2 linked regions of the Alligator mississippiensis genome follow. The protein of the gene in region 1 purifies or fractionates together with the protein of each later gene. This does not show direct contact. Links are inferred from orthologs where the notes say so. Each region holds a gene or a part of one and is shown on either strand. Other genes may lie near its edges. The genes, in order: ATP11A and TMEM30A.

Region 1 (16,034 bases):
CTTTGCAGCCCTGAGATATGCTGCCTGCTATAGTAGAGCAGGGAATGACTTGCCCCTCTGCTCCTTAGCCTGCTTCCTGCCTCCGGCCATCAGTCCATAGGTACAGGGGGCAGGGGAACAGACCACCAGAACCCCGTGGTCTGGGCTTTTCAGAGCCTGGCAGCTCTCTCCCCACCTTCCTCCCCCTTCCCAGCTCCTGATTGCTCCAGCGGCTGCCACAGAAGGGAGAGAGAAGAAGTCCTTGCAGGTGGATGCCTGCCCATGCAGCCCAGCATCGGGGCACCAGGGAACCCCTTGCTTTGCGGGGCTTCCCCCCACCCCAGCCCAGGGTCACCCATCTCAGGGCACTCATAAAAATCCTTGCCTCTTACATAATTCCTAGAACATCATGGCTACATCACTCCAACACTATCATAATGTACTTAAACCTACTTTGACTTCACATCTTTAGGTGATTCACTTTCTCTCTCTTCCCAGAAGCACTGCACTGGCTCCAGATTGCTCATTCTTTCCTCCAAATTTAAATGCATCTAAGACTGTACAACCTGTGGCAACACTTCACAAACTAATCAGAAGATCTCAGAGAGGGAGATATCAAGGCATAAGTGTCAGTTCCAAGGAAGGAACAATTTCCTTCACTAGAATAAATACACTATCTTACTATACAGTATATGAATATACAGAGGAATTCCTGTTTAACTTTTCAGAAAAATATTATCGTGGATAAGTCTAAATGAGTCTGATTTATTTGTAGGAGATAAACCAGGAACAATTTTCAGTCTAAGCGAGTTTTAATTTGGTTTTAACTACTCAATAAATTCAATCTCAACCAAATATGAAGTGTATAGTTAATGGCTGTTAAAATATTTTTCCTTTCTTATGTCTCCTCACAACTCCCCACATTTGCTGCTAACCACTTTCAGTTGCCTCTACAGGCGTCTTTGCCATTTGCTGAAAAAAAAAAGAGACAGATGCCCAGATCCACCAAGGTATTTAGATTCTTAACTCTTATTTAGGCATCTAACACCCATTGATTCCTTAGTTGATCTTGGTTTTAGCTCCTGTAATGACCTAAGTAAAAGACTTAGCTGGGCTTGACTGGGAAATAGAAAGTAGGAGTTTTGATACCTCCTTTCTCAATGGCCCATATAGACAGACTGGTACTACTATCAGCATCCTGTAGCAGGAATGTATCTTGAAGTGGTGAGTTAGTTGTGAATCAGTTCCCCAGTATTTTCAGTGCAGTGACAAAATCAGAGTCAGGGGGCTGCCAAAGAACAGAACACATATATCTAGGGTAAATATGTAATATTTTTGTAGATGTTATAGTATCTGTTTAATCTGTAATCTGTTTAATCTGTTATAGTATCTGTTATGGTATTAGTTTAATATCATTTGCAAATGGTAAGCAGGATGCTTTCAGTGAAGCTGTGGTAATATGAGAAAGAAATCAGAAGAGTCTGGGAGATTCTGAGGCAGGTGTAGTGGTAACAAAATTTAGGGCAGGTGCCAGTTGAGCTGAACAGATGTGGGGAGGCTGTGAAGAAACTGAAGAAAGGAAAAGAGTATTTTCTAAAAGGTACAGAAAAGCTGAATATGGGTGGAGAGTAACTGGAAAGATTTGATTTGTGCTTGGGGAAAAATAAAGCAGAAAACACAGAAAAGTAATGACATGAAAGGGTGTATGAATAAGTTAAGGCATGCATTATTTTAATAAATAACAGATAAAGCAGGACTATAATGAAGAAATCTGAATTCTCATTCTTACTCTGCTGCTAACCCACCATGTGACTGTGAGCAAGTCAATACAGGATATGGGCACCTCAAGCAAGACTGAAGGATTTACATAGGTATGAGCTCCTGGATTCCGAAACTGCAATCAATCATTCAAAATCATTCAGTTCAGGGGAGGGTGAACAGAAGAATACCTCTGTAGTCTAGTACTCACAGCCCTCAGGAGATAGAGGAGGCCAAGTCCAGGCTTCTATTCTCTGGATAGTTTCTGTGTGTTTATCCAGCATGTGTTGAATGGAAAGGACTTGTATTTCACATTTAGGATGTCTCCGTCCTTGTGCTAGAACATCTCATTCTCTCTCTTGGGCCTCATGACTCTTGTACGCTTAGTTTCCCAGGGTCAACTGGGGAAGTGGGGGGTGTGGAGTGCTTCCTGCTATAGGACCTGAGTCAGGTACCTAAGATCTGGAGATGTACAGGAATTTGGGCACACCTCTGTGCTCAGTACTTATTATCTGACTTGTCACTGATCAGCATATGAAGGGGGTTTTTTTTCCCATTCTATGGCCCCTTGCACTCTTCATGGACTACAAAGAGAACCTAGGTGCCTAACACAAATATGGATTCATTTGTGTCTAGTGAGGGATGTTAGGTGTTGCACAGTATCAGCAAATGTACCATAATCATCATATTTGCACAGTAAATTGGACCCCAATAAGTACCTGCACTTGAAACAACATTTGAAATAACATCTTCACTTGACTTTAAATTGTCTTTGTGTCATCCCTCATGCAGGTGGACTTGCTTGGGGACATCTTACACACGTGACTGTGCTTCTAAAGCTGAGCACAGAGTAGCAGAGGACAGTGAACAGAGCATAGAGCAGCAGAGGACAAAGTTCTAGAAGGTGCCAGTGAATGAAAAGCCTGAGCTATTTCCTGTGTATGACAACATGATAATCTATTTGGGACAAAGAATCCGTTTATGTTTACATATTCTTGAATCTTTGTGATATATGATAACTCATTGTTATATGCAATAATTCTGAGGTTCCAATATACAACTTCCATTTTCACTCCCTTTTGCTCCAGTACCTAACCTGCAGATATGTAAAAACTTCATAGCATTTATCCCCAATCATATAATGCATGAATTTCCCTCACTACAAATAAGGATACGACTAATTAACCAATGGATGCTGAAATGTAATTATTTATAAAGTGCTTGAGGTCTTTAGATTTGATACTGTAGACAATATTAAGTTTAAGGAAGACAATTTAAAAGTTCTGAAATATTTGAAAATGCATTTTGGGCATGTAGCGTATAGATGTAATCGAAGAAATGGCACTGAAAAAGAGGCAATTAGTGGATTACTTGGATAAGGAGAGTGCATTAATAAAACAACTTAAGCTTTCCTGTTGCTGTTTAGCAGAAATGTTGTGTACCTAGTCACTCCCATTTATGGTTTGATATTTTTTTTTCATACCAAAAGATTTGTAGAAAAGATTAATTAGAAAAACATTGTATTTACTACAAATTGTTATTTAAGGTGTTTAAATAAATTAGGGGAGGAGGGGAGAAATTAATTTAGTGATAGTTAACATATACTACACAGCTGTGTATACACAGCAAAATTCCTGATTAGTTTTCAGTTTCAATCGTGGCACTGCTGAACTGCTCAAATCCATAGTCCTGTGCCAATCATAGACTCATACAAAGTTAGGCTTAGAAGGGACCTCAGGAGGTCATCTAGTCCAACCCCCTGCTCCAAAGAAGAAGCATCCCCAAATAGATAATTCCAGCCACAGCTTTGTCTTGCCGGGTTTGAAAACCTCCAAGGATGGAGATTCTACCACCTCTCTGGGTAACCTGTTCCAGTGCTTTACTACCCTCCTAGTAAGAAAATTCTTCCTAATATGTAACCTAAACTTTCCTTGTTGCAACTTGAGACCATTGCTCCTTGCTCTGTCATCTGCCACCACTGAGAACAGTCTAGCTCCATCCTCTTTTGGACCCCCCTTCAGGTAGTTGAAGGCTGCTATTAAGTCCCCTATCAGTCTCCTCTTCTGTAGACTAAATAAGCCCAGTTCTCTCAGTCTTTTCTCATAAGTCATGTCCTCCAGCCCCCTCACCATTTTTGTCATCCTCTGCTGGACACTCTCCAATTTGTCAGCATTATTTCTGTCGTGGGGGGTGCAAAACTGAACACAGCACTCCAGATGTGGCTTCACCAGTGCTGCATAGAGGAGCATAATCACTTCCCTTGACCTGCTCCCAACATACCAATGCAGTCCAGTATGCCGTTAATCTTCTTGGCAGCAAGGGCAGACTGCTGGCTCATGTTCAGATTATTGCCCATTGTAACCCCCAGGTTCTTTTCTGCAGAGCTGCTGCTCAGCCAGTCAGCCCCCAGCCTGTACTGGTGCATGGGATTGTTCCATCCTAAGTGCAGGACTTTGCACTTATCCTTGCTGAACCTCATGAGATTCCTTTTGGCCCAATCCTCCAGTTTGTCTAGGTCACTCTGAATCCTAGCCCTACCCTGCAGCATATCTACTACTCCTCACAGCTTGGTGTCATCTGTGAAGTTGCTGAGGGTGCACTCTATGCCTTCTTCCAGGTTGGCGATGAAGACATTGAACAAAACTGGCCCCAGAACCAACCCCTGGGGCACTCCACTGATACCAGCTACCAATTAGACATCTAGCCACTGATTACTACTCTCTGAGCCTGATGGTCCAGCCAGTTTCTATCCATATTACAGTCCATTCATCCAGCCCATACTTTCTTAGCTTGACTGTGAGAAGGTTGTGGAAGACCATATCAAAAGCCTTGCTAAAATCAAGGTACACCACATCAACAAAGCCAATCATCTCATCATAGAAGTCAATCATAAAACCTGTTATGTTTTTATAGAATGCTGTAGTAGAAAGCCCACTGTATTTTTTCTTTTTGTCATTTTTTCTCTTTTCTTAGATGTTTTAAATTTCCCCTTTGATCTTCAAGGAAATGTAATTAAAATAAAAACCTCATGGTACAATATTCAGGCTGTAAATATGGGAATGAAAAAGACAGGTAACACAAAAGTTAAAATAAATTATTATTAGTAGCAAAGGTAAGGAAATCTATTTTTAACTCAAATCTCTTTAAGGTTTGGAATAGCAACCACAATAGTTCAATCACATTGCACTTACTGCATATTAAATTACATATTTTTCAGTCCAACTAGTAATAAAAAATGCTGAATGTATATAGTGTAGCTAAATTAAAGGTGACCTGTAACAAAAAATGGGCTTTTGCCTTTTTCTTTTTCTTTTAAGTTTGTAAGGAAACTTCAAACAATGTGATTTATTTTTTTAACTTTACCTTAACAGCAGCACAAGTTCAGATATTGCTTGTCCTGGAAGCTTTTCATGATGGCTACAGAACTAGGGAACAATGATAACACAAGAACCAAAAGGAAGAAAGTTGATAATTTAGGCCATGAAGTAGGCCATGCAAAGCAGCTTTACCATCTGTGTCCTAGAGGTCTTAGATTGTGACTGCATAAAATGCTTTGGGTTTTTGTTTTCATTAACACAGATTTACCTAAATTGAATGATTTTTAAGTAATTTTGGAGAAAGAAATTTATGTTTAAAGCTTTCAGTTAAGGTGTGAAAAATAATAAATATTCTCTGAAACCATTCAAAAGCCACAAGCCAAGGAAAACCAAAAGTAATTCTCTGTGTATTAAAGTGAAAACCAAATGGAGGGGAGAGGGGGGAGGAAGAAAGAAGGGTAGGGGAGAGCAACAAACCACTTTTCTAACCCTGAGAGGTCATCTTTCAAAACTGAATAGAAATATGATATCTGCTCACCACTGTGTGCACTCTCTCTCTCTCTCTCGCTTCAGCAGCAGGGGAAACAATCAAGAAAACAGGTTAATTTTCACAGGTGTTTATAGGCCATTACTCTTTCTTAGGGCTACAGTGTTTGGGTTTCAGTCATTGTAGAACAAAGTTTGTTCAAAACAATCATTTCCACTGGAATTAAAAAACTTGGAGAAGTTTCCCCGGGTTTGTGGGAGTTTTTTTTCTCTTTTGCAAAAGTTTGCTTTGATAAAATATTGGGTCAAATAGGAAAGTTCCTAGTGTGTTTTACAGGCTTTACATTTAAGGTTCTCTCTCAGATGTGCAAGCTTAGTCTGTTGCAGTAGACTTTTAAACTTAACTGCATTGTAGCTTGCTCATGGGGGAGAGGAGGGGAAGGGAGAGGAAAGGTGGACTGATACTAAACAGGTGTTAGCCAAGAAGTCATAGAATCATTGAAAATTAGGGTTTCTGTGTTTATCTCTGGAAATTAGTTTGTGATAACTTGGGCCCCATTTTGCCATTTGAGTGAACATATGGAGGGAGACACCCTGCACCCCTACTTTGGTGGATGGTTACACACTTATTTCTATTGCAAAATTTCCCCTTCCCCCCAGACACTATGGATGGCCATACTTTCAGTGATCACAGAATCATACAAATTTAGGGTTGGACAGGACCTCAGGAGGTCATCATGTCCAACTCCCTGCTCAAAGCAGGACCATCCCCAGCTAGATCATCCCATCCAGGGCTTTGTCAAGCTGGGTCTTAGAAACCTCCAGAGATGGAGATTCCATCACCTCTCTATGTAACTCATTCTAGTGCTTTACCACCCTCCTAGTGAGAAGGTTTTTCCAAATATCTAACCTAAACCTCCCTTGCTGCAACTTGAGACCATTGCTCCTTGTTCTGTCATCAGTCACCACTGAGAACAGTCTAGCTCCATTCTCTTTTGAACCCCTCTCCAGGTAGTTGAAGGCTGCTATCAAATCCCCTCTTTGTCTTCTCTTCTGCAGATTAAATAAGCCCAGTTCCCTCAGCCTCTCCTCAGAAGTCATGTGCCCCAGCCCCCTCACCATTTTCATTGCCCACCTCTAGACTCTCTCCAATTTGTCCACATCCTTTCGGGGGGGGGGGTCCAAAACTGAACACAGTACTCCAGATGTGGCCTCACCAGTGCTGAATAGAGTGGATTAATCACTTCCCTCAGAAGACTTGAAATCTCACTTCTGATTTCTTAAGCATTTACTTCTGAGGAGCTGATGAGATGATGTGGTCTCCTGCCCTTGCCAAGCGGGAATGTGATCCCCTGAAGAATGACTCATGAGGGTAAAGCTCTTACTTGTCTGGGGAAGTGTCTGCAGGAGTCAGGCCTTAATTCCCTCTGCCTGTTTGCACTGAGGACTGTTTGGCACTGGCAATTCATTTATGCCCCCTACACTGTAAAATTCTTGTAGAAAAGGATACCAATCAAGATACCTTGCTAGGCACTGACTTCCTAACAATTAATTTTGCAGATTATTCACATTCTTTTCTGGGGAGGGGTTTCCCCTTGTATACCACATATGACCAAGTGAGGGCAAGTGAAGTGGTAGTGGAGAAGAATCTAACAATACCTCCCAGAAGTGAGATGATGATCACTGGCAAACTGAAGTGATGGCGATGTGAAGACGAGGGCTTATCTGACCCTACGTTCACTGATGAATTGAGATTCCTGGTGGGAAATCTCCCTTGTTTCCTGGGCCAGTTTCTGGGGCTGCAGGGGTAGCACAGCATGTTCCTGTGGGGGCAAGATCCTTTAAGGTAGTGCTGGGGAAACCTGAGCCTGCTTTCGCCTTTTGGAGGAAATCTTTCACATAAAGCATCCAATGGAACAAAGTGAACAGCTGCAACCTCTAAACTCCTGCTCCCCTTCCCTAAGGAAGCAAGAGATGAGTATTTATCACTCTGCCTTGTGCCTGGAGCAGCAGGAGCTTCTCCAGGGAGCTACTGGAGTGCCTTGGGGTTTCTCAAGGTTTCCCCCACCCCTCCCCCAGCTGCTGGTCTCTGCACAACTGCAGGGGGAGGGGAACTGGTGCCCCTGGGGAAGGGGGCTGATTTGTTGAGAGGAAGGTTCAAATTACACTTGGACTCTTGGGGTGGTCTGCAAAAAAAAATTGGGCTGCCCATCACAATGCTTTAATAAAATCGGAGACCCCCCTGGGTTATGATTTTCAAATATTATAGGGGACCTCTAGTATCTCTCGGTGGGGTAGGGGCTCAGCCCCTCCCCCCAGATCCTCCATAATTGAAGCCTGTTTGAGGCTCCCTCAATGATGGGTGCTTTTTGCCATGCCCCCCTGCAGCCTAGCAGGGGCAGGCACAGCCTTGATCAGAGTGCGGTACTGATAACACCAGGTCCCAGCTGGCTCCCTGGGGACTAGGCTTGAGATCCCTTCCAGCCTTGCATCTCCATGGAGCTCTATGACAGCGCTTCTCAACCCGGGGGTTGTGTTTGGGTTACGAGGATATAGAAAAGGGTTGTGAACAAACTTCAAAAATGGATTCTCCTTTAAAGGAGAAAACCATGGCAAAGGCTGGCTTTTCCCTTGCAAGCTGGCAGAGCTCCAGCCTGCGAGGGGCTGCTGGGGGCCCCCCTACCCCACACACAGGGTTGAATTACACTCTGACCCTGGGGGATGGGCTGCGGCGGGGGCAGCAGGAAGCTGGAGAGAGGCGCTGCCACTGCCTCAGCTGCTTAGGAAGGCGCACGGCAGGCCAGGAACTCTTGTCCCTTAGGGGTTTACAGGGGGTTCTCATCTCCGAGCCCCCCATATTTCAAACCCTGTGAATACACCCAGCCCCTGCGCCACACCCGGGGGGGCTGGCAGCAGCAGGTCAGGCGTGAGGAGCACCGGGTCGGGACTGGCCATGGAGGTTTACAAGTGGGTCCTGCTACAAAAAAGGTCGAGAACCGCTGAGTCCGTGATAGCCCAGAGGAGCGGGACTTGCACAAGCAGCCCCTGGGGGTGGGGGCAGCACTGCTGGAGGGAACCCGGGGAATGGCCAACGAAACCTTGGGGGGAAAAAAGACACAAGCCGCGTCCCGCAGGGGCTGGAGCCCCACCAGGCGCTGCCCGCAGCGCGCCCCAGAGCCGGCCCAGCCAGGTGCGAGGTGAAAGCACCGCCGCCGAGCTGGGGACAGTGCTGTGCGCATGCCCACACGCCCTTTATGACGTGGGCGTCTGGGGAGCCCGAGGAGATCAAAGAGCGGCTGGGCGCGGGAGAGCGGGCGGCTGCAGCCCGGCGAGGTAGTCCCGCGGGCGGGGAGCCCCGAGGCGCGCTGCTGGTGCCCGCCAGCCAGCTCGCTTCCTCTCTTCAAAGCCGCGGGCGCCGGGGAATGAGCTGCTGGGAGGCGCCGCGCGGGAGCAGCAGCGGCGCACACATGGCTCTGCCCGGCGCTCGCATGATTTAGCCGGGGCAGAGCGGCGGTAGCGCCCGGGCCAGCCCCAACGCCAGCCTCGGGAGGGGGCGCGGCGGCTCCGCTCCCCACGCGCGCCTGCCGGGGCGGCTCCTGCATGCGGGAGCGGGGCGGCTGCAGCTTGCGCCCAGCGGCGGCGGCAGAGCCCGTGCCTCGCCATGGACTGCAGCCTTCTCCGCACCCTAGTGCACCGATACGTGAGTACCCCGCGCCCGGCCCCCGCCTGCCTGTCCGCGCCTCCCCAGCGCCCGCCCGCCCGCCCGCGCACGGGAGCGGCGCCCGCGAGTACCCAACAGCCGGAGCTAGGGGTGCGCACACGGCCGCCCCGCTCTGCTCCTCACCCCTTCTTTCCTTTCTTCGTTTTTCCCCCGCTTCTTTTTCTTTCCTTTCTTCGTTCCTTTCCCTGCGCTTACAGTAAGGGATCATCGCGAGGCAGGGATTGAAGGGTCTCATGACTTACCCTGAGGTCAGGGGCATAAGTAGCAGCCAAAGGAAGTGTGCGCACACACTGGTCCACTTTCCCCGTGCTTGCAGTAAGAGAACATCTGCCAGGGCTTGGAGGGTCTCACGATTTGAACTAAGGTGAGGGAGAAACCTTGGCCGCCCCAGGGCAAGCGATTCCCTCTGGGTGAAAGAGATGGCTTCTGCATTTGTTAGCTTCGAAATGCACATCATGTAGTGTGACCTCCTGTCACTTGGGTTCACTTCTGAAATCCAGTGAACTTTCCCTGCTTTTTTATTTTTGGGGAGCACGTTAGCCAGGTGGCTGGAACTGGCCACTGATGGCAAAGCAGGTCTCCTTTTGGAGTTGAGACTCCTTTTAGAAACTGAAAGAGTCTGGCTATTTTTCACATAACTAAGTCACGTGTAAACTGACAGTTTAAATGTACTGACGGGGAGTGGGCACAAGCCTTCTGGTTCCCTCCTCTCTTGAAGATTTAGATATGTTGGGGAGTCCTGAGCACCCCTCACCCCTTTTTTGCTCTGCTGGGTGTGTCACTCCATTTCTCCTCCCAGATACTCTGAGCCCAGAAGCAGTTCAGCCTGAGTCACAAGGATTAGCATAGAGGCAAGGCTTTCTTAGGGTGGTGTCTTCTGTTGAACTATCTATGCAGTTGCGTAGTTAGATGAGCTTTTAAATGTAAGCCATGCTTCCTTAGCATTGAGAGAAGTGGATTGGGGGGGACAGTTTCAAGGGAGCTGAGATGCATGGGCCACTTATTAGCACTAGGTATAAGGGACCACAGGACCCTAGGAAAGAACAGTGGTTACAAACCATGACTCAGTTTCCAGCTGCCTACTGAAATGGCCAAGAAATCCTTTTTTTGGAGGGACAGGCAGGAATATGGGGATTTGAACATGAACTGTATAGATCTCCCCCACACAAAGGCAGAGGGGTTGGAGTCTGGAACTTGCCTCAAGCCATGAGGACCCATTTTGAGGGTGGGGCTGAGTCCTCACCACCTAGTAGTGAGTTATGTCCTTGTGTTCTCAGCTATATTTAGCTGCTCTTGGTAATGTTGTCCGATTGATAATGTCCCAGTAAACCAGTGTATAGTTTGGAGAAACTTGCTTTGGCTCCTGTTGTATTTCTGTGGATAAAATGAAAGCCCCCAGAGACATGCTGGGTATAGCAGCTACCCTTTTGCATACACATACTTTGGGGGAAATGAATTAATTTGAATATGAAAAATACTCCCACCATTGAAAGCTAATAGAGTAAAGAAGTCAGCATTGCATTTGGGAAAAAGGAGTTGTAGATGAGTGTGCACCAGAACTGGGTGGTAAAATCTTGCCTTTGTTAACACTCTAACAATCAAGATCTTGGCTGTACTAAATTGGCCAACAGCCGCTGAAGAGGGAAATAATACAAGGGGCAAAGGTTAAAAATAGGAAACTGAGGTTAAATAAATGCATCTGGAGTAGGAAGAAAAATAATTCAAAAAAGAGGTCTCAGGGTGGTCAGTGTGAAAGTCAGGGACCTGACTTCCTTTTATGGTAAAACAGCTAGTAAAGCCTAATTTGAGTTCCTTACTCAAGATGTTTGGGTTGAAAGAACAGTTCAGAGGGGAAATTTAGCAGGAAAAAGTTGGGAGCTGAAGATATGTTCGCTGTGGAAAGCCTTCTAAAACGATAGCTGTTATGAGATGGCATGCATATGTGTGTGGGGAGAAATAGTAATGAAGCTACTTGCATTTGTGCATCTTTAGATTATAAACCTGAAGAAAGGGGGGAATTGTTTCAAGTTATACAAAGCTGTGTATAAAAAAACTAGTTTGCACCATGAAAATCCAACTGAAAAATTTCAGGCTTAAACTCAGATGAGCTCTTCTGCCCATGAAGAGCTCTACTAGCAAGCAGTTGCATTCTGCTTGGATGTAGCAGGGTTCAGGATCTGGCCTAATAAAAGGGGGAAAAGTTGGCTAAATGAGGAGCTCTGCTAGTCTGTGGAATAGTCCTTTGAAGGAATTGGGTGTCATAAACACTTTTGGTGGAAACCAGACCAGAGACTGCGCTAGAAAATGTATTCTATTTTGAGAGATAAGGGAGCATGTGAAAACATACCCTGCAGAAAAATAATCATGTACTTGTGGGAGGATAGAGTCTCTGACCTAAAAGTTTCTTTTTGTAACTAATTATATTCATTATATAGACTGAAACGGAGTCCAGGAATTTCCTAATCTGGATGAGAGACTGTTTATACACTTCCCAAATCTCAGTACCCTGTGTTTTTGTTTGTGGGACAACTGAACAGATCTTTTATTTTCTTTTTTTCTGCAGAGATCTACAAATAGTAAGTTTTAATCTGTTGCTCCAGACTTTGCTTGTCTGCATTCTCTATAATCTCAGTTAGTTTCTTTATCTTGAATTTATTACTTCAAATGAAGAAGCTGTTGTGCACAGCTCAGGTTTATCATCTAAATATGCTCTGTACGAGGAGAACTGGATAGCTCCTTTTTCCAGCTCAGTTCATTTTCTTTTTATATAACTATGAGAGGAAATGTGCACTCTTAAAATCTTAAATGTTTTCCCTGAAACTGATGATTGATTGACAGAAAAGATTAGCTGATGACCATGCCATTGCAGAATCGCTGTTGCTTTTGTTTCAGAGGTATTTATTCTTTTATAGGAGACTGGTAGTTTTGCAGTTTATCTTTCTTTGTTTCAGATTTTTATTAAATACTGTTGTTGAGATGCTATGTCTAAACAGGAGCAAACTTGTGCTTAGTTGAAGTCCTTACCAGAGGATATTCATGAGAAGATTTGGAGTCAGAAAATTCTTAGTGGCTACTGTACTGAAGCATTGGTAACAATAGCTCTGTAATGCCTAGTTGTCCTAGTGAATAAATGGCCTCTAAGATATCCAGATCCTAGTCTGTTCAAGCTGCAGTACCCTGGGCTGCCTTGATCTTTTCAAGGGTGCTGCAGGGTGCCATACTATATTAGCACTACTTGGTGTACAGCCATGGTTCACAAGATAAACCCAGTGATTTCAAAGATGTATTCATAGTGTTACACACGTTCTGACCTGGTATGGTCTTTCTTAGCTCTTTACACCAAAAGAATTGCTCTATTATTTTTATGTTGTCAAAAAATGAGTGAAAGCTAAAACTTGATAGTTTCTTAGGGTTGCCTTGAATCTTAAAAGGTTGAGAAGCTCTGCTGGCTCCTTTGCTGTCTCTGTCTGGAGACATAAGGAAGTAGCTAGCTGAGTGCTCATAGCTCCGGTGTGATGTCTCATTAGTCTCTGTTGAGCAGTAAACGGCTTCTGCATGTCGTATTAGTTGTAGCTTCTATGTGGTGGTTTCCATTAGTCCCATATAATTTTCAGTTGTGGTGGTGATTAAATACATGAGTTATAATGTCAAGGTCTTTATTCAAAAGGAAAGGCCATTCTCTTTCTGTGTGTGAAAGGCAGCAGTTTATGTTGAAAAGCAGTACAGATTCCAACGTAACTCTTAAATCTGTGAAGCACTTACCAATCATTGCTCAGGAGCTTCTGGTTTTCCAGTTATGGGTAGCTTTTTCAAATATGTCTGGCTGGCTGGCTGGCTTGCTTGCCTCAAATTTTTCAATTGATTTGTTTAGGTAGAACATGGTAATTGCAGAGGTAGTGTGGACAGAGCAGATTTTTGACATTTGGAAAAAAGCATGACCAGAACTTTGATATCGTGTATTCAGTCTCCCAGGATGGTGGTAGACTGGCTTTAAAAATAACATCTCTACTCTGTTGTTGTCTTGCCCAATTCAACCTTGTGTTATGATATTCCTCCCCCCTAATTTTTTTTTTTATTTTTGAATAAAATATTTTTCTGTTCCCTCCTACCCATTTTTTATAAGGTTATATGTATAGAATAAAATTGTATGTGAAAGATGCTGAAGTGAATTGTACTGAAGTATGACAATTCCGGTAAGAAGACCTCGTATAAATGCTTTGGGATCCTTCAAGATGAACAGTGCTGCAGAAATATGCTTGACTAATGCCAGTTTTTATATTAAGTTTAAGGTAGAATATTTGTGAATTGAGTGTTTATTTACTGAGCATACAGTTTCTAGAGGGTTTCAGCTTGCATCTAACATGCCATGTTGCATCTTTGTCAAAAATAAAGTAGAAATATTTTTTCCCATACACCATTCACAATGCTGAGCTAGAGGACCTGAATAATAGTTCTGTACTTGCCAAGTCAAAACACTCAATTTGTCTTAAAGCTTTACATTTTATTATAAACAATGGAAGTCCCTTTCCTAATGTATGTTGATGATTTTAATTTTTTTAAAGTTGGGTAACTTCTGTCCCCAAGTTTTCAAATTTGATCAAACTGACTCTTCTGCAGAGTCATACATTTGGGTCCTTTTACAGGGAGCTTGAAGTAAACTGTGTGTTTGTGATGCATCTGTCAATTTTTATGGCTTTATAATCAGAATTTCCCAACTTTTAGCAGACTGTTTTTCCTCACCCCCCCCACCTCCCTTTAAGTCATAAGCAAAGACAAAATAAAGTAACCCCTCCTTTCTTTCCCTCTCTCTTGGGGTAGTGTGGTCCATTTCCTGGAAGATTGTACCTCTCTAGGGGAGTCAGATTCACAGTTTGAAAATACCAGGTTTAATGGTGTGGCACACAACAATATTTGATTGTGGTAAAAACCTGGATAAGCAGTTGCATGAAAAATTTAGCTTTTAAAGCAGAAATTGGCACCATTCGGTACTTGGGAGAAATTGAAGGTGCTTTGATAATTAAAACTACGTTGAGAGATTATTCCAGTTTAAGGCATTGTCTAGATGCCATGAAGTGGCGTGGCTTCATTTGTATAGTTCACTGCAATGTCATCACCTCCCTTGTGATAATTCATGTTATCCTTAGCAGTCTTAATGATTTAGAAGTTCCTCCTAACTGCACCAATTATTATTTCCCCTTTTTTATAATGGAGAGGGATTGTGTTCCATAAATAAAACACACAAGTCTTGACTCTTGTAAAATGAATATTGTTTTTCTTTCGTCATTTCTAATGTGTATATTTGTAAACATGATAGATACCTTATTTCTAGTAAGGTGCAGGGCTGCACAAGTTTGAAGTTGCTTTCTGGGGCAAAACGGAAACTGTTGCTCTTGGCATGCAGCTTCTCGGACACGAAGCAGTCACTGAACATCTTGCAACCTATTGTAATTGCCTACACTGTATTTTGGGGACAGCTGTCCCTGATTGGTAGATACTGTTGTCCAGGTTGACTGCTCTATTTTTGGCAGTACTGGTTAGGTTAGAGAATTGCAGTTACTGCCCTACAATTGCCCTGCTTTTCCTGTTTATATAGTACATTACAATTACTGACACTGCTGCTGTATTGTCTGCTCCTTTGTGTCCCCCCACATTACTACAGGATCATAAATCTGATTTCAGAATATTAAATATTTGTTGGCAGTACATAAATAGAAATGTATATAATATAACATTTATTTATTTATTTATTTATTTATTTATTTTAGTACTGTGTATTGTATTTGATAAATTGTCGGTCCTCTAGAAAGGAAATCTCTGCATCTTTGGTCCCTGGAGAACTCCCAGAGCTGTTACATTAGTCCTTTAAACTGGCTGAGCTTTTCAAATACTTTTTAAATGGCTTCATAAATGTATGCTTTGTCTCTCACTGTAACAGAAGTGGGTTGAAAGTGTAGTCTTAATTGAGTAAAATGATTGTAGTGATTGGCATAACAATGGTCTAATCTGGAAATTACATATAAAAAGTTTCAGTGTATTTGCCACAATATTTATGTGGAATTTCATGTTAGTTCTACTATGCTGTATTTGCAGTCATTGATGTAAATGGTGTGCCATTTATGTTAAGAGTATAGTTCTAAAATTGCTGTTCCTAGTGAATGCCTTAAATACTAAATTGAAATAATATTCATACACTTCAATATAACAAAGGCTGATGGAGCTTTAACTTGAAAGTTGGAGGGAAATCAATTAGGTTTATTAGTCTGGGGCTAATAAATAATAATAACAAACATGGTCAACTTCAAAAGTTGCTTCAGGTGCTGTACCTTCCTTTAGGCAAACTTCTGTGGATGTACAGTTTTATATTCATGTATATTTTAAGTATTGGTGTAAGGTCCACACAAACGAGCACTCTAGCTGACTGTTTAGGGAAAATACTTTACATTTTTAGTGCTATCAACTACACAAAGCAGCACTAAAAATTATGTTCTCTAACGTATTTTCCATTTTTAGTTTAGGGTATAACAATTGTTAAGTTGGGGAAAAAAAAAATCAGTAGCATGCCTCAACTTCATATCCCTTCCAGATTCAAATTTTGTCCAGAAGGCAGTAACATCATTTTGAAAAAGTAAGAACAGTTGAATTTGAAGGATTTCAAAGGTTAATTCTAAGAACTGAAACAAACATCATGACCTCCTCCAGCATCATTCACGTAGTCAGCATTCTAGCTTTTACTTCACCAAGAAATCTACATCTATGCGGAATTAAGACGCTCT
Region 2 (16,034 bases), about 290 Mb from region 1:
TTAAAATCTTATATATTTTTAGGGAAGGGAAGGAAATCACTCTTACTCCTTAAGAAATATACAACCGACTGATGTCTGAAAGGGTATTATATGCATTTCTAATTAATGGTTGACTATGTTATTTTATTTCAAACCTTCACAAATATTTCAATTATTTTCAAGGTACTCTCAAATCTACACTGATGATGAAGTTCTTAGTAAATATGTTGTGCATAATAAAATGTACTACTTCAGATTAAATGACTATGATTATTTAATATTTACAGTAAAATATTATAATTAAATATCAATGCAGACAGACTGATTAGGATAATGGACCTTGTATATTAGGCACAATACAATCCTCAACTACAGTTCTGCAGTCTTTTTACACATTATGGATATAATTCTGTTGGCCATAAACTTAATGGCAGAACTAAATGTGGAAGAATGTTATTTAAGAAGTATCCTTGTTTCTCTTTCCTTCTCACATTCCTGATTGTTGTCTTAACTTTACTGGTTCAACAAATATGAGTAAAATAACTACATTACAACCAGCAACCCTAAAATAATTAAGATATAAAATGTTATGGCATAATGGGGAAATAAAAACTGAATAAAAACTGGCCACACATTTTTTTTAGTGAAAAAATGGTTCAAGAAAAAATGTTGTGTCTAAATCAAAACTTGATGCATTACAGTTTTGACAGGAAAAGTTTCTGTTCCAGGACTAAATTTCTTGTCTAAGTGAGAGAGGACCATACCCACATACAGACATCCCAGAAGAGCTACAGTATGTTAGAGAGGGCATTCAGCAAGATTAAGTTCCTGATCTGCCTGATTCAGACTAGGATTTGAGCCTCAGTTTTATAATGGTTTATCTTGTTCAACTATATTATTATTTTTTTCAAAGCAGCAGAGATGTGGTCTGAGCGCTGAGTTGGGAGCCAAAGATATCTGAGTTTTAATTTTGGCTCTAGTAGTCTCTGTTTTGCCTTGACTGAAACATTTATCTATCTCACAATATTTTATGAGGTTTAACTGTCTCTAAGATGTTCTGAAAATAAATACTATAACATGCCAAATTTAATTTTAATATTTTTATTTTAAAAAACAATCATTAAAATTAGTCTTATTTACCTTCTTATAACATCAAATATTTTCCTGTCTTTTCTTTTAGAGAGTGTCATCATTCATCAGTTACGCATGAACTCTAGATGAAATACTACATCAAATGTATTCTGTATGTGTGCACTTCCTTACTACAAGAGTTGGATGGATCACTGTTGGAAGCTCTTTACCATTACTGCCAGGGGCTCCAATGCTACTGATTACTTATGGAAGTATCTATTGCTTCCACTGGATATTTGTTTTGTTTGGGGTTTTTTCTTAGACTTTAAAAAATGCAATGGCGTTGCTAATATTTTCAAAGTATATAGTGAGAGAGAGCAGCAGTTTTGCTGCCAAATGAATTTTACTCTTCTTTTGCAAAGCATAAGGCATATGCTTGATTTTGTTTGGTGTTTGCTATATAATTTATTTTTATAATACACTTTGTAATGTAATTTTCCCTAAGCCTTCCAATTTCTATTGTCCATGGCACATTTATATGTAGAACACTGTCAAATTCTGAAAGTGTTGATTGATATTTTTCTATTAGAGAGCCTGTTAAGAAATTACATGTTAACAACAGTGCATTTTTAAATGGAAGACGTACTGTACTCAACACAAATTTTCCTGCCACCTTATAACTCTGTGAGACTAAATGTTCTGAAGACTGCTGTACAGGATATACTGTTATAAGTTTTTTGCACTGTGCGGTGGTTTGGCGTAAAACTGAGTACTAAAATCCAGAGTCCTAAAGTACTACCTGACTTCATAGATTGATTTGAAATACTGCAAACCAGTGTTCGTTAAGCTGTGATTTTTTTTTTTACGTGTGTTTTTACTTCTGCCTGTACCATAAAGTCAATTTTCATTACACTATAACAAATAAATTTTCACTAGTATGCAAACACAACCGAATGTCTGAATGGTAATACTAATTTCAGAAGGCTGACCCCATTTCAGTTGTTTATAGAGAAGGACACGCATGATTTTGGCAGTTGCTGCCCTTAGGTTAGTATTTGATACCATATTAAAGTGCATGCATACATACATAAAGTTGACCCTGATATTGCCAAGTGCTTTAAAGAAAAATCCATTGCCTGACAGAGCTAATGATATTATTGTTTCTAGCTGTGCTTTCTTGACACTAGCAAATAAATCACAAACTGAACTTAAATTTTATATCAGCAGCCCTGGGAAGCTGGAACATAAGAAGCAGCAAAGTGAGAATTCTATGGCAGCTCTTAAAATAAAAATGATATTTCACAGACTTCTTAATAAGATGCAATACAAACTGCATACAGTATAACTTCATAAATCCAGCATGCTCAGGACCGAGCATCTACCGGAAATTTGAAAATTCCGGAGTTTTGAAACTGGAGCGGTGGCTGGTCATGGAGCGGGGGATGGGGATAGCAGCAGCTGATCCTGGAGCAGTGGCCGTACATGGAGTGGGGTGGTGGACGGCGGCAGGAGCTGCCACATGCAAGCTTCCCCCTCTGTGTCTTGGGAGGCGGGGGGTTGTGGCGGCCAGTCCCAGAGCAGCGATGCGGGGTGGTGAATGGTGGTGGTAGCCATTGCGTGCTAGCTTCCACCTCTGTGGCTGGCAGTAGTGTATTTTTTAAAAGTGCCAGATTTTCAAGAATTCTGGATTGTTAATGTCTGGATTTATGAGGTTATACTGTACTATGTTTTCTGGTATTTATTTTCATAAATAAGTATTTTTATAATTAATTAGTTGTATTATGAATTGTTGCCATATTTTTAGTTTGCAGAGGCTTCAAATTCTATGTTGTCAAAAAACTTACCTGGGGGGGGGGAGGGGTTGGAATATGGAGGAATGTTTCAGGATTAAAGAACAGATGCATTAACTGTTCATTTCTGATAAATGAATGAATGGTGAAACACTTCAGTTTTCCTATTCTGACATATTCAAGAACAATATTTAACCTCATGCTGAAATGAATAGAGAAGTTAATCCCTTAGGCTGTCTCTGCACTTGGAAAGATAATGAAGTGTTGATTTATAGTCATTCAGATCATGTTTCCAATATTATTTTCTCAGTAATAAGAAACAGGATATTTTAATACCACAATTTATATTCTGCACCACATTTCACACCAACAGAATGGTAGGATATGCTGCTACCTATATAGCGTGTATCTTTCTGACAGCATTTTTAAGCTATTTTATGCGACTGTTTGCTTCCATGAAATTCTAATATTTGTTTGTTTTGTATAAACTTTATATGAAGTGAATTCATTTTAAGTGGGTATAAAGTGTCATGATATGGCAGCCTGTAAGGAAAAGACGAAAATGCCAGTTACAGCATCTAGAATGGATACAATCAATTTCATTTTTCTTATGAAGAATGAACCCTGCTAGGTTTTGGCTGTACTGGAAAAAGCTTTCTTGTTTAGTTGTTTTGCTAAACCCTCACAGTGATGCTGTAGCTTACATAATAGAAGATATTGAAAGCGTGTTCCACAGCCTTCTGACCTTATTTGTGAATGAATCACCACCTAGATTAAAAATGGCTTTAATCTAATCTGTAATGAAACTGGCAGTTATCTCAGTGAACACAGCAACCCTATCACAATGTTTTTTCTGGTTTTAACACTGCTTTTAACTTCCTGTTGTGCTGTCTGAAAGCCTCAGCTGATATAGAAAGTGTATTTTACTTGTTGAAATTTAACAGCATTCTGATATATTTTGCTTATGGCAAAAAATATTGTGCTTGCTGTAAGAACTTCCCCTAACCCCTACCAAAGACACAATTTGTAGAACTTTAAACAGTTAAAGTATTTTTGTTTTTTGTTTTTGTTTTTATCAGAAATGCAGCTAGGATTTATTTTCATGTATTTACTTTTTAAAATATTTTGAATGGAACTGTAGTATCCATATAATTGGGAGACATATTTCACTGGCTGTAACCTAAATGCAATAAAATGTATGTTGTTGAGGTTTTCCATACACGTTAAGCTTGTAATATTTGACTGGCACGCAGATGTATAGTATATTTTGTAAGATAACAAATGCCATCTGCTCGAAATGTATCCCATTTCAGATGACAAGTGAATTTTACCCTGTGAATTAAAGTTGCTGCCTAAATCTTTAAAATAGTCTCATCCATATTTGAATATTGAGGGCCTGAATGCATTACATGTTCACACTAGAGGAAACTGTTTTTGTACTAGTATAAACCCTTAACAATGTAAAACATGTTAGAATCTAGTGTAGTTACCCTGGAGAAAAATGGTAGTAAAAATACATACAGGTGGAGGTGTTGTGTTTGCAGTTATCTTAGGTAGTCATTCAATCATTGCAAACAGCTTATTATATGTGCCTCATCAATTAGTGTTGAGGTGCTTTAAAAGTGTTTACTGCAGTGGCTGCTTCAGGATCCTTGCCTGTCTGCTCTGGATTCCAGTGTAATTTACAATACTGTAAAAACCGATACACATCAAACTGGTAGTATCTTGGCCCTCTATTCAAAATATAAAAATTAAATATAGTAGCTATGTAATTACCTTCTGCTTTTGAGTACTTTGGGAGAAAGAATAGTGACAGATGGAACTAGAGACCATTCTGGCCTTGACACCTGGAAAGATCATGGAACAGGCCCTCAAGGAATTTATTTTGAAGCACCTAGAGAAGAACAAGGTGATCAGAAACTGCCAGAATTGATTCACTAAAAGCAAGTTGTGTCAGACCAACCAGATTTGCATCTATGATAGGGTGACAAGTTCTATGGAAGTGGAAAGCAGTAGATGTGATATACCTTGACCTGTGACCTGGTCTGCCACAGCATTCTCATTAACAAACCAAACTGAGGAAATACAGACAAGATGAAAGCACTGTAATGTGGATATATAACTAGTTGCATCGTGTTCAATGAACAGTCATCAATGACTCAATATCTCGTTTGGAGGAGGTATCAAGTGGGGTTCCTTGGGAATCTGTCCTGGCTCGGGTATTGTTGAACATTTTCTTAATGATTTGGATGAAAGAATTGAATATATACTTAGAAATTTGCAGATGACACTAAGTTGAGTGAAGTTGAAGACATTCTGTAGGGTAGTGCCAGAATCTAGAATGACCTGGAAAACGTGGAGAAAATGCCCACAATCAATCAGCTGAAATTCAATAAGGACAAATGCAAAGTGGTGCACTTAGGATGGAATAACTGCATGACAAATACAGACTGAGGAATGACTTGCTAGGTTGCAGAACTGAAGAGGACCTGGGGTTACAACAGATCATAAACTAAGTATAAGGGAACAGGGTGCTTTTGTTGCAAAAGAGCCAAAAGCAGGCTGATTTGTTTTAACAGGGTTGTCACTTGCAAATCAAGAGAAGTAATCCTTCCAGTGAGTCTCTCCACTTTTGGACCCTGCACTTCAAGAAAGATGTAGTAGACAGACTGGAGAGAGTTCAGTGGAGAGCTACAAAAAAAGATTAGAGGCCTGGAAAGGATGACTTACACGGGATGGCTGACAGAGCTAGGATAATTTACTCTGGAAAAGAAAGTCTCTGATAGTCTTTAAATACTTAAAGGATCATTATAGAGAGAACAGAGAAAAATAATTCTCTGTGGCTATGTGGGACAGGACTTGGAGCAAGGAGTTCAACATTCAGCAGAGGAAATTCAGGTTGGATATTAGGAAGAACTTTCTGTTTATAAGGGTGGTCAAGCACAGGAACAGAAGTTATGGACTCTCCATCCCTGGAAATTTTCAAAAGCAGTTTAGACAGATACTTGGCTGAGATGGTTTAGTCAGGGATGATCCCACCTTGAACAGGGGACTAGACTAGATGACCTTTTGAGGTCCTTTCCAGCCCTACTTTCCTATGATCCTAAGTTATACTAGAAATATTCTTTTCATACAAATACACTTGTTAAAGAAAATAATCAGTCTTCCATTTTACACCTCGGAAGCAGAGAGTATGCTGAACTCTCCCTTTCCTTTGTGTGCTTACTGGCATAATTGCAAACAAGTAAATAGTCTACAGAAACACTATCCCCATGATACTTATAGTAATTAAATTCAACCTCATCCACTTCAGTATCTTACTTAGGCACATATAATGCTACTGGGAAGGCAGGAAGAAGGGCCTGTTTGCTGTCTCACTTCTTTCCTCATCCCCCAAAATTACATTGGGTCTGTTTTAAAGCATCAGACCAAGGAGAAAAACAAATCACTCAGGTCCACTGAAGACCCAGGAACCAGGTGGGGGGAGGATTTACCCCCTTCTGCCCTTCACTTTGGGTGAAGTTACACATTATACACAGAACATACTAAATCTGTGGAATATTAAATGGTGTTAAAGCTACAACGTGCTGTGAGCAATCGCACATAAAGTAGGGTTACCGTATTTCCAATTCCAAAACAGAGGACACCTGTGGGGGGGGGGACCTCACTCCCCACCCGCAGACCCCTGGCCCAGATGGTGGCCCTCACTCCCCACCCAATCCCTCACCTCCCCAGGCTATGCTGGTGCCCCTCACTCCCAACACGCATCCCCCTGGCCCTGCCAGGGCCCCTCCTGACCCGCAGACCATCCCAACCGGGCCAGCGTGCGGCAGCTCCGGTTTTTGCGGGTGCTCGTGGAGCGAGTAGGAGGGAAAAGGGGAGGCCTGTGGCATCCCGCCCCACGCCCTGGGCTGGGGCTCCCACGTCATGGCGGGCGGCCCCTGGCAACATCTCCCGGCCAGCGCCCCACGATCAAGGGCACTAGCCCAGCTCCCCCGCTGCTCTCTAGAGAGACCGGGCCTGCAGAACGCTAGCAGAGCAACTATGCATGCGCCACCCCAGCTGCGGGGCCGCGTCTCACCCACCGGACTGCGCATGCGTAATACTCCTCCCTCTCGCGCTCTGACTTTCCCCTGACACGGCGCGTCATCAGCGCGCGCCCCAGCTTCTCCCCTTTTGCGCAGGACGGCGCGAGGCCCGATCACGTGGCGACGGCGGGCGGTGACGTTGTTGTGTCGTTGCAGCCCCTCCCCCCCTCCCCGGCGCGAGCGGCGGAGGCGGCGGCGGCCCCCCGAGCCCCCGCCATGGCGGTGAATTACAGCGCGAAGGAGGATGCGGATGGGCACCCGTCGGGCGGGCTGGGCGCGACGGGGGGCGGCGCGGCCAAGACGCGGAAGCCGGACAACACGGCGTTCAAGCAGCAGCGCCTGCCGGCCTGGCAGCCCATCCTGACGGCGGGTACCGTGCTGCCCGCCTTCTTCGTCATCGGCCTCGTCTTCATCCCCATCGGCATCGGCATCTTTGTCACCTCCAACAACATCCGCGAGTACGAGGTGCGCTGTGGGGCTGGGCTGGGTGCGTCCCCGGCCGGGCTGCCTTGTCCCTGCAGGCGGCTCCGGAGTGCACCCGGGGGAAGCCGCCGCGGCCCGGCCCGGCCCGGCCCGGCCCGGTCCGGTCCTGCCTGCAGTGTGGCCGCCGGTTTGAGCCTCCCTACAGGGAGGTGCGGCCCAGGTGGAGACAATCCTCGGGGTGGGAGGGGCAACGAAATGGTTTGGGGCCCGGGGCGCAGGGCTGGTGAGCAGAGGCTGAAGGACTTGGGCTTGTTCAGCTGTCTGGAAAAGACGGGAGTAAGAGGGGATTTGATAGTAGCCTTCAGCTACCTGAAGTGGGATTTGAAAGAGGATGGAGCTGGACTGTTCTCAGTGGTGGCAGATAACAGAATAAGGAGCAGTGGTTTCAAGTTGCAGGAAGGGAAGCTTAGGTTGGATATTAGGAAAAACTGTCTCACAAGGAGGGTAGTAAAGCACTGGAACAGGTTACCCAGAGAGGTGGTGGAAGCTCCATCCTTGGAGGTTTTTAAGACCCAGCTAGACAAAGCCTTGGCTGGGATGATCTAGTTGGGGCTGGTCCTGCTTTGAGCAGAGGGTTGGACCCAGTGGTTCTCAGCCTTTTTTTGTACCAGGACATATTTGTAACCATAGGTGGCAAGTCCTGACCCAGTGCCCCTCACTCCTGACCTGCTGCCCCCCACTCCCAGGCCCCCAGTGTGCGAGGCAGGGAGGCCCCAAGCAGCCCCTCACAGGCTGCAGCTCTGGCAGCCTGCAAGAGGGAAACCACAGCTTCCTCCATTTTTCTCTATTTTGAAAGTTTGCTCACAACCCTTTCGTATATTCTTGCGACCCACTATTGGGTTGCAACCTACAGGTTGAGAAGCGCTGGACTAGGTGACCTCCTGAGGTTCATGGATTCATAGATTGGAAGGGACCTCAGAAGATCATCGAGCCCAGCTCCCTGCACCAAGCAAGAAAGACAACCGGGGTCAAGTGACCCCAGCAAGGTGACTGTCCAGTCTCCTCTTGAAGATCTCCAGGGAAGGTGATTGCGCCACCTCTGGAGGGAGCTTATTCCATGTTCTGGACACCTTGGCTGTGAAGAAGTTTTTCCTAATTTTGAGCCTGAAACAGCCTTTCAGGAGTTTGTGACCATTGCTCCTGGTTTTCCCCAAGGGTGCCCTGCTGAACAGTTGTTCACTAAGCCTTTGATGTATGCCCCTGATGTAGCAGTAAGCTGCTACCAAGTCCCCTCTCAGCCTTCTCTTTTTTAGGCTGAAGACACCCAAGTCCCTCAGCCTTACCAGAGATTTGCATGGCAAGCCATATGAGGTCATACGGGTGGCCCTTCTCTGGACTCTCTCAAGCTTTTCCATGTCCTTGTTGAAGTGCGGTGCCCAGAACTGGATGCAGTACTCCAGCTGCGGTCTCACCAATGCTGAGTAGAGCTGAAGAATCACTTCTTTGGTTTTTCTGGAGATGTATCGATTGATGCACGCCAGAGTATTATTTGCCCTGGTGACTACAGAATTGTATTGCCGGCTCCTGTTCATACTGTGGTCAGTTATTACCCCCAGCTCTCTTCCATTCATAGTGCTGGTCAGATTGGCATTGCCAAGCCTGTAGGTGTGCAGGGGATTGTTCGTCCCCAGGTGAAGCACTTTACATTGCCCAATGTTAAACCTCATCTGGTTCTGATCCGCCCAACTTGCCAGCCTGTCTAGGTCCACATGTATCTGCAGCCTATCTTCAGGCATGATCGCGCTTCCCCATAACTTGGTGTCATCTGTGAACTTGGCCAGGTCCCTTCCAACCTTAATTTTCTATATCGCCCTTGTAGCACAGTCAGTACCCCACAGACACACTTCACTATTGAAGACTTTTAAGCAGCTTGATCTAGCCTGACCATCCTCCAGATACTGGTAAGGCCCATCACCCATATCTCAGTGCCAGGATGTGGTCCTCAATAGGGTTTTTGGAGGGTTTTTTTTAGCCAGGGATCTGCAAGTTGATTTATGGGGTAACTATAATACTAGGGGAACTTTGAAAGTGGAGAAGATGCTTGTTGTTTTAACATGTTGATTTAGACCACGTGCCTACGTACAAGAAGTTCAGTGCTAGCATGTGTATACACATATGCTTTGTCAAGCTGCTACCTAAATGCAGTACAGTTAATGTTTCTGTGTTTCATACCGTGGATGTCCTGACAGGCTACAAACAAGCTTGGAATAATGCACCAACGGTCTACTCGCATCAGGGGACATCTTGCAGTGATACTGTCTGTAATGCTGAAGTATACTAGGGAGGGCCCTTGGTGGTGCTTGTGTATACAGCTGGCAAGTAGCCAAAATGTTATCTTCATTTTAAACCTTTACACTGAGTTTAACAATTCTAAGTAGTAGAGGTGCACTGATACATCGGTCCATATCGTATCGTTACCAATAAAAGGAAAATTGAAATTATTGGTAATCGGCTTTTTTTGGCTGCTGTGGCCAATAATGTCACTTATAAATCTGTGCGTGCGCATAGCCACAGCATGCATGCAGCCACTGGGGGACTTGGGCGGAGGGAGTGGCTTCTGCTGCTCCATGCACCTGCAGGGTGAGGCATGTGGAGCACTTGCCCCCCAGATCTGTGAGTGAGGCAAGAGCAGGCTGCCACTGTGTGCTGGGGCTGGGGGTGGCACCAGGCTCTTTCTGGTGGGGGGGACTGGGGCTGGGCTAGGGCTGCACTTGGGGCAGGCAGCAGTAGTGCTGGGAGGAAGGGCTGTGGGGGGTGGCTACAGCCACCTCAGAATTCACTGTAGCCTCCCCGAACCCCCACTCCCAGTGCTGCTGCTGTCTGATCCAAATGCAGCCTTGGCCCAGTCCCCACCTCTCACCAGGAAGAGACCAGCGCTGCCCCTGTCCTCAGCTCACAGCGGCAGCTGCCCTTGCCTTGCGCACAATTCCAGGAGGCACATGCCCCCTATGCCATCCCCCCCACCATGAGCTGCTCGTGACTTCGTCCTGCCCCAGCCCCACTCCCTCCCTCACCGTGGGCAGCCTCACTCTGTCCTCCCTACATCCCCTCCTTCCCTCTACCTCTTCCCCACAACTGACTTGCTAGCTGGATGCTGCTCTCCAAGCTGCCATGCTGCATATTGGCAATCAGATCGGTATCAGCTGATATGGCTTGTTAATAATCAGCCATCGATATCAGCCCAAAAAATCTTTCAGTGAACCCCTACTGAATATTAAAACAATGCAGCTTTTTGGTGAACAACTAAAAGCCACCTCTTCCATCATCCATGCTCAATGTTTGATTAGCTGGTAGCTTCTGTATTTTTATAACAACAACCTAATTTCTAGCAGTTGCTTTTTAACTTGTTGATTGAATAAGATGAATTAAAAAAAAAAAAAGAAGATTGCTCACAGTAAAAAAACAAAACAACATAAGAGTGTGTGTGTTTGTAGGAATGCAGTGGTACAGAGTATGATGCAACCAGTGTGAGCCAATAAAAAATTACAAGTCCTTGTGCAGATCCAGTAATTTGACATGGACAGAAGTAGACAGAATTGTGAAGATCAGAGTAGTTGTTTTAACCCCTGGTAACCAAGCAGCATATGTTCTCATTTGTATATCTCTCTAAAGTTTTAACATTGCTGTAATAAAATGTGTAAATAATCTAAAATTGAAGCTGCTCAAGTCAAGGAATGTAAAAGATTAGTTTGAAATGTACTTTGTGTTCTGTCACTATCGTGTCTACAGTTAATTGCTTTCTAAAAATATGCACCTTTGTGCTTAGATCTGAGGGCATGCATTGCATCGCAAAAACCTAATTGATTTCTTTTAAAGAATGCTGTTAGGATAGGGTTTTTAAAAAAGGCATTTTCTTGTGGTAATATTTGAGGTAGTTGTGTAATCTTTAATGGGATGCAATTTAGAGAATGGAAAGGAACGGTTCCTTCTAATACATTAACCATTGGCAAACTGTTGACAGTGGTGTTTTAAAAAAATTCTTATCTTTGGTTTAGGTTTAGTTATTACAGCTAAAAGTATTTACATTTTTATATCAGTTTTTATAGAGTGTGGAGACTAAAGATAAGGACCTTAATCCATATTAGACACAGAAGTAAAAGTAGTAATTTGTTTTGGTTTTTTTTTTTAGAAATGCAAGATACTCCTAAGCTCCTCCCTCCTTCTTATGCAAAGGGCCTGCTAGTTACAGCACTCGACCAAGAAGCAGGTTCAGGTTCAGCACTGTCTGAAAGATTGAAACCACTTTTCAGGAGATGGGCCTGATCACATCAGGCTATAGGTTTTTGATGTAATAATGTAATGGGCCAGAGTGATAGTGAACAAGCCTTTGTAGCATAGTAGTTAGGGTAGAGTACTCACTTGGGAGTATGGAGATTATGGTTCTTCTCCTTGTTTCAAACACTGTTTAAATTTCTTATCCAGTTGCTTTTTTAATGTGGGAGGAAATGTATAAAGGGGAAGAAGGGGATGGCAGCACCACCACTTCCTCCTCCTGGAGCTCTTTTTGAAAGGCAGGACTCTGGAGCTATGTTTCAGGAGAGGGGTTAGGCTTGGGTGATTGTAGATAACTTGCAACCTAGAGTTAGGTGTCTGAGTCCTAATTAGGCTGGGGATTTTAAGATGCACACCTTGTCATGGTTTCGTTCTGACCAGTCTAGGTTACTTCCTGCTTGGTGGGAGGGGTGTTGTAAATCCCATTCTTTGTTTCCTTATTCTGCCCATGTTCTGTGTGGGTGGTTTAGATGCCGAACTTGTGCCTGTGGATTCTGGTTTGGAGGGTGCAGGATTGAAAGCTTGGGTGTCACAACATCCAAGTTCCTTGGTCAACCTAAACACTGGTATATTTAAAAAAGATTCTGCTTTTATTTAGATGCAAACACTTGTTTTGCATCTAAAACAAACATTTGTTTGTTTTAGATGCAAACAAACAAAAAACATTTGATTTTTGTAGAAGTGGTCCCAATGATTTAACACAGGTTTAAGTGTTTGCAGAACTGTGGCATAAGTATAGATTTAGAAGCTGAAATTACGTACTCAGTTCCAAAAACTATGGTCTAGTTTCTTAGCTGTTCTCTTCGTTATTTTAGCTTTTGGGCATCTGTTGGATTCCCTTGGAATGCCTGCTGGGAGTGGCATGGTGTGGTGTGGCAGGAGCAAGAGGAGCAGGAGGAGGAGCAGTTGCTGGAGGCACGGGGCTCAGAGCAGCACTCAACTGGCTGCAGCCACCTTGGGAACAGCCCACTGGAAACTGCTCCAGCTCCCTGGAAGATGGCTGGGAGCTGAAAGGCAGAGCTGGGTGTTGGGGCAGGAGCCACCAGGCTGAAGCTGCTCACCCACCTGCCTGGAATGGTATGGCACAGTGCAGCAGGAGCAGCTTCTGGTGGGCTGTTCTCAGTGCTGTCCCCTGCCACGTGAAGCGCTGTGGGGGCAGCTGTGGGCCAGATCCAGTCACCTGGTGGGATGGATTTGACCCACAGGCTGTATTTTTCCCACCCCTGATCAAGCCCCTATAATTCTTTTGAGCAAGTAAATTTTTGTTAATTTGACTACGTTGTTTAAAATACAGAGTGAGCACTTCACAGATTGATAACAACTTATTTTTTTTAGTAAAATGTAACCACACTTTAATTTTGTCTTTCACTAACATTGATTTTTATTTTTTACATAATAATTTTCTAATGAAGCCATATTTACTAAACTGACCTGGATATTCCAGAGCATTAATGGCAAAGTGAATGATTTTAAGTTAATTTTGCTTAACAAAATGGACTTAAATTCAAACATGGATTTTTATTTGCAATGGAGGATAATGTATGATGCAATTTTAGACTTGCTTTGTATAATTTTGACCATTCAGCTAAGTACTCAATAACAGTATGTACGTTTGCATTGATTTCCACCAGAGCTACCTTAAATTCAAATATGGAAGCTTTCCACCAGATTTAGTATCAGTATTACATATCCTGCACATAAGCAGTTTTCTAGCATTTTTGCAAACTCTGTTTCGCTCACACAAGAGTTTCATAGCAGATAGTGTGTTCATAGTTATCAAGGGGAGACGAACGTAATTTAGTTGGAAGAAACAAATATAAGCTACTAAAGAGAGATTCTTTGAAAAACCTATTTTTCCCCTGGAGTAGAAAGATTGCATTAAAATCAAGTTTAAATTTACCAAAACTCAACTGGATCCAGGACAAGATTCTTAACCTCAAAGTAATATTGTGTAAAGAGAATGATTGTTCAGTTGTTTACTTCGAGAGGTGAAGAAATTAACTTAACGTGGCAGCTAGGAAGGTTTAGCAGTTGTACATAATCAACAGAGAACAACTCCCCCTCTTCCCCTTTTTTTCCTCACTCTGAATTGTTACTGTCTAAGGGCCTTACCCTAGATCAGGGGTTCCCAAACTGTGGTACATGCACCCCTGGGGGGGGGCACTCAAGACATCTCTGGGGGGTACATGGGAGAAATTGTATAATGGCATATTTAATTTTCATAATAATAATTGGCATTTAATGGGGTTAAAATATAAAATGTATCCTGGTAGGAGTGCATTGGCAGCTGGTAAATCTGGAAGGGGCTATGCGATAAGCAACAGTTCGGGATCCTCTTCCATAGATCCAGGGAAGCTCCAGTCAAAAGTATGTTCACATTGTTTGTCTATAGGGATTTCCTACATTGTAGAATTTGCAGTCTACTATTCAGAGATTCGATTTTCCAAATGCAGTCTGCTTTATTGTAACCCTAAAGTGTCAGAGTTTGTTTGGACTAACTGAAGAACTAGAGTTGGATGTGCATAATGAAGTTTTTGTAAAAGATGAGGTTTTTTGTTGGTTTGTTTTTTTTTCCAGATATCTCTCCCAACCGTACAGCTGGTCTAATTAAAGATATATCACACACAAGTTTTGTCTCTCATACATCATTTTAAATCAGCCAGATCTGCCCATGAGTTAAGTACCAAGTCAGCTGCTGTTCAACTGACTGTTCAGTTCAGGATAAACGGTGTGCAGTGCTATTTAAACTAACAGTTGACAGATTGCTCGTAAGGACTGCTGAAGCGGTGATATTTGCCAGTTCATGCAGGGTGTAAAACTAATTTCTTTACGTAAATCAACCTTTTTTTAGGCTCAACCCTACTGTATAGTAGGAAACATGTTGCTTATAGTTATGTATATAACTATATATGTATAGTTAGCCTTCGATCTGGTGTCCCATGATCACCTCTTGGAGAAACTGGCCAGTTGTTGCCTTGGGTCCTCCACAATCCACTAGCTGGAAAATTGGCTCCGGGGTCAGACCCAGAGGGTAGTAATTGATGGAAGTCACTCATCATGGTGTCCTGTGACCAGTGGGGTCCCCCAAGGCTCTGTCCTTGGACCCATACTGTTCAACATCTTCATTAATGATGTGGACACTGGAGTCAGAAGCGGACTGGCCAAGTTCGCCGATGACACCTAACTTTGTGGCAAAGCATCCACACCAGAAGACAGGCGGGTGATCCAGGCTGACCTGGACAGGCTCAGCAAGTGGGCGGGCGAGAATCTGATGGTGTTCAATGCCGATAAATGCAAGGTTCTCCACCTTGGGAAGAAAAACCTGCAGCATCCTTATAGGCTCAGCAGTGCTATGTTGGCTAGCACTAAGGAAGAAAGAGTCTTGGGGGTCATCATTGACCACAAGATGAACATGAGCCTGCAGTGCGATGCTGCGGCTAGTAAAGTGACCAAAACGCTGGCTTGCATCCATAGATGCTTCTCAAGCAAATCCCGGGACGTCATTCTCCCCTTGTACTCGGCCTTAGTGAGGCCGCAGCTGGAGTAGTGCGTCCAGTTTTGGGCTCCACAATTCAAAAAGGATGTGGAGAAGCTTGAGAGAGTCCAGAGAAGAGCCATGCGCATGATCAGAGGTCAGGGAAGCAGACCCTATGATGACAGGCTGAGAGCCCTGGGGCTCTTTAGCCTGGAAAAGCGCAGGCTCGGGTGATCTGATGGCCACCTATAAGTTTATCGGGGTGACCACCAGGATCTGGGGGAATGTTTGTTCACCAGAGCGCCCCAAGGGATGACGACTAGGTCAAATGGTCATAAATTACTGCAAGACCGTTTCAGGCTGGACATAAGGAAGAATTTCTTTACTGTCCGAGCCCCCAAGATCTGGAACAGCCTGCCATCGGAGGTGGTTCAAGCGCCTACATTGAACACCTGCAAGAGCAAACTGGATGCTTATCTTGCTGGGATCCTGTGACCCCAGCTGACTTCCTACCCTTTGGGCAGGGGGCTGGACTCGATGATCTTCCGAGGTCCCTTCCAGTCCTAATGTCTATGAAATCTATGTGCCAGCAAAAAGTTTAACTGTAAGCATAAACCAGTACAAACCAAGTTTGGTAACTTTTCAGAAAAACATGCAGGCACTTAGCTTGTTTCAGTATCTCATTTTTTCAGGACACGGTACAAAATTCTTATAGTTGTTTGTACCTTGCAATAAACTTTTGTTTTCAGCACCAAGGGGGAAATTGAGATCACTGGTTTATATTAGAATCATAGAAAGTTGGGATTGGAAGGAACCTCAGGAGGTCATCTAGTCCAACCCCCTGCTCGAAGTAGGACCATCTTTAACTAGATCATC

What was found.
Region 2: the proteins of ATP11A (region 1) and TMEM30A purify together in Homo sapiens (co-immunoprecipitation; 4 studies listed by BioGRID and IntAct, with this or other methods). This does not show direct contact. The link is inferred for Alligator mississippiensis from reciprocal best matches to the Homo sapiens genes ATP11A and TMEM30A.

What each region holds. Positions count from the first base shown.
Region 1 is NC_081824.1:352,403,106-352,419,139, reverse strand, and holds the start of ATP11A (phospholipid-transporting ATPase IH), read left to right. Parts: upstream 1-8,833; 5' UTR 8,834-9,201; coding exon 9,202-9,240; intron 9,241-16,034. UniProt on the Homo sapiens protein: Catalytic component of a P4-ATPase flippase complex which catalyzes the hydrolysis of ATP coupled to the transport of aminophospholipids, phosphatidylserines (PS) and phosphatidylethanolamines (PE), from the outer to the inner leaflet of the plasma membrane.
Region 2 is NC_081824.1:65,526,806-65,542,839, reverse strand, and holds the start of TMEM30A (cell cycle control protein 50A), read left to right. Parts: upstream 1-7,074; 5' UTR 7,075-7,144; coding exon 7,145-7,393; intron 7,394-16,034. UniProt on the Homo sapiens protein: Accessory component of a P4-ATPase flippase complex which catalyzes the hydrolysis of ATP coupled to the transport of aminophospholipids from the outer to the inner leaflet of various membranes and ensures the maintenance of asymmetric distribution of phospholipids.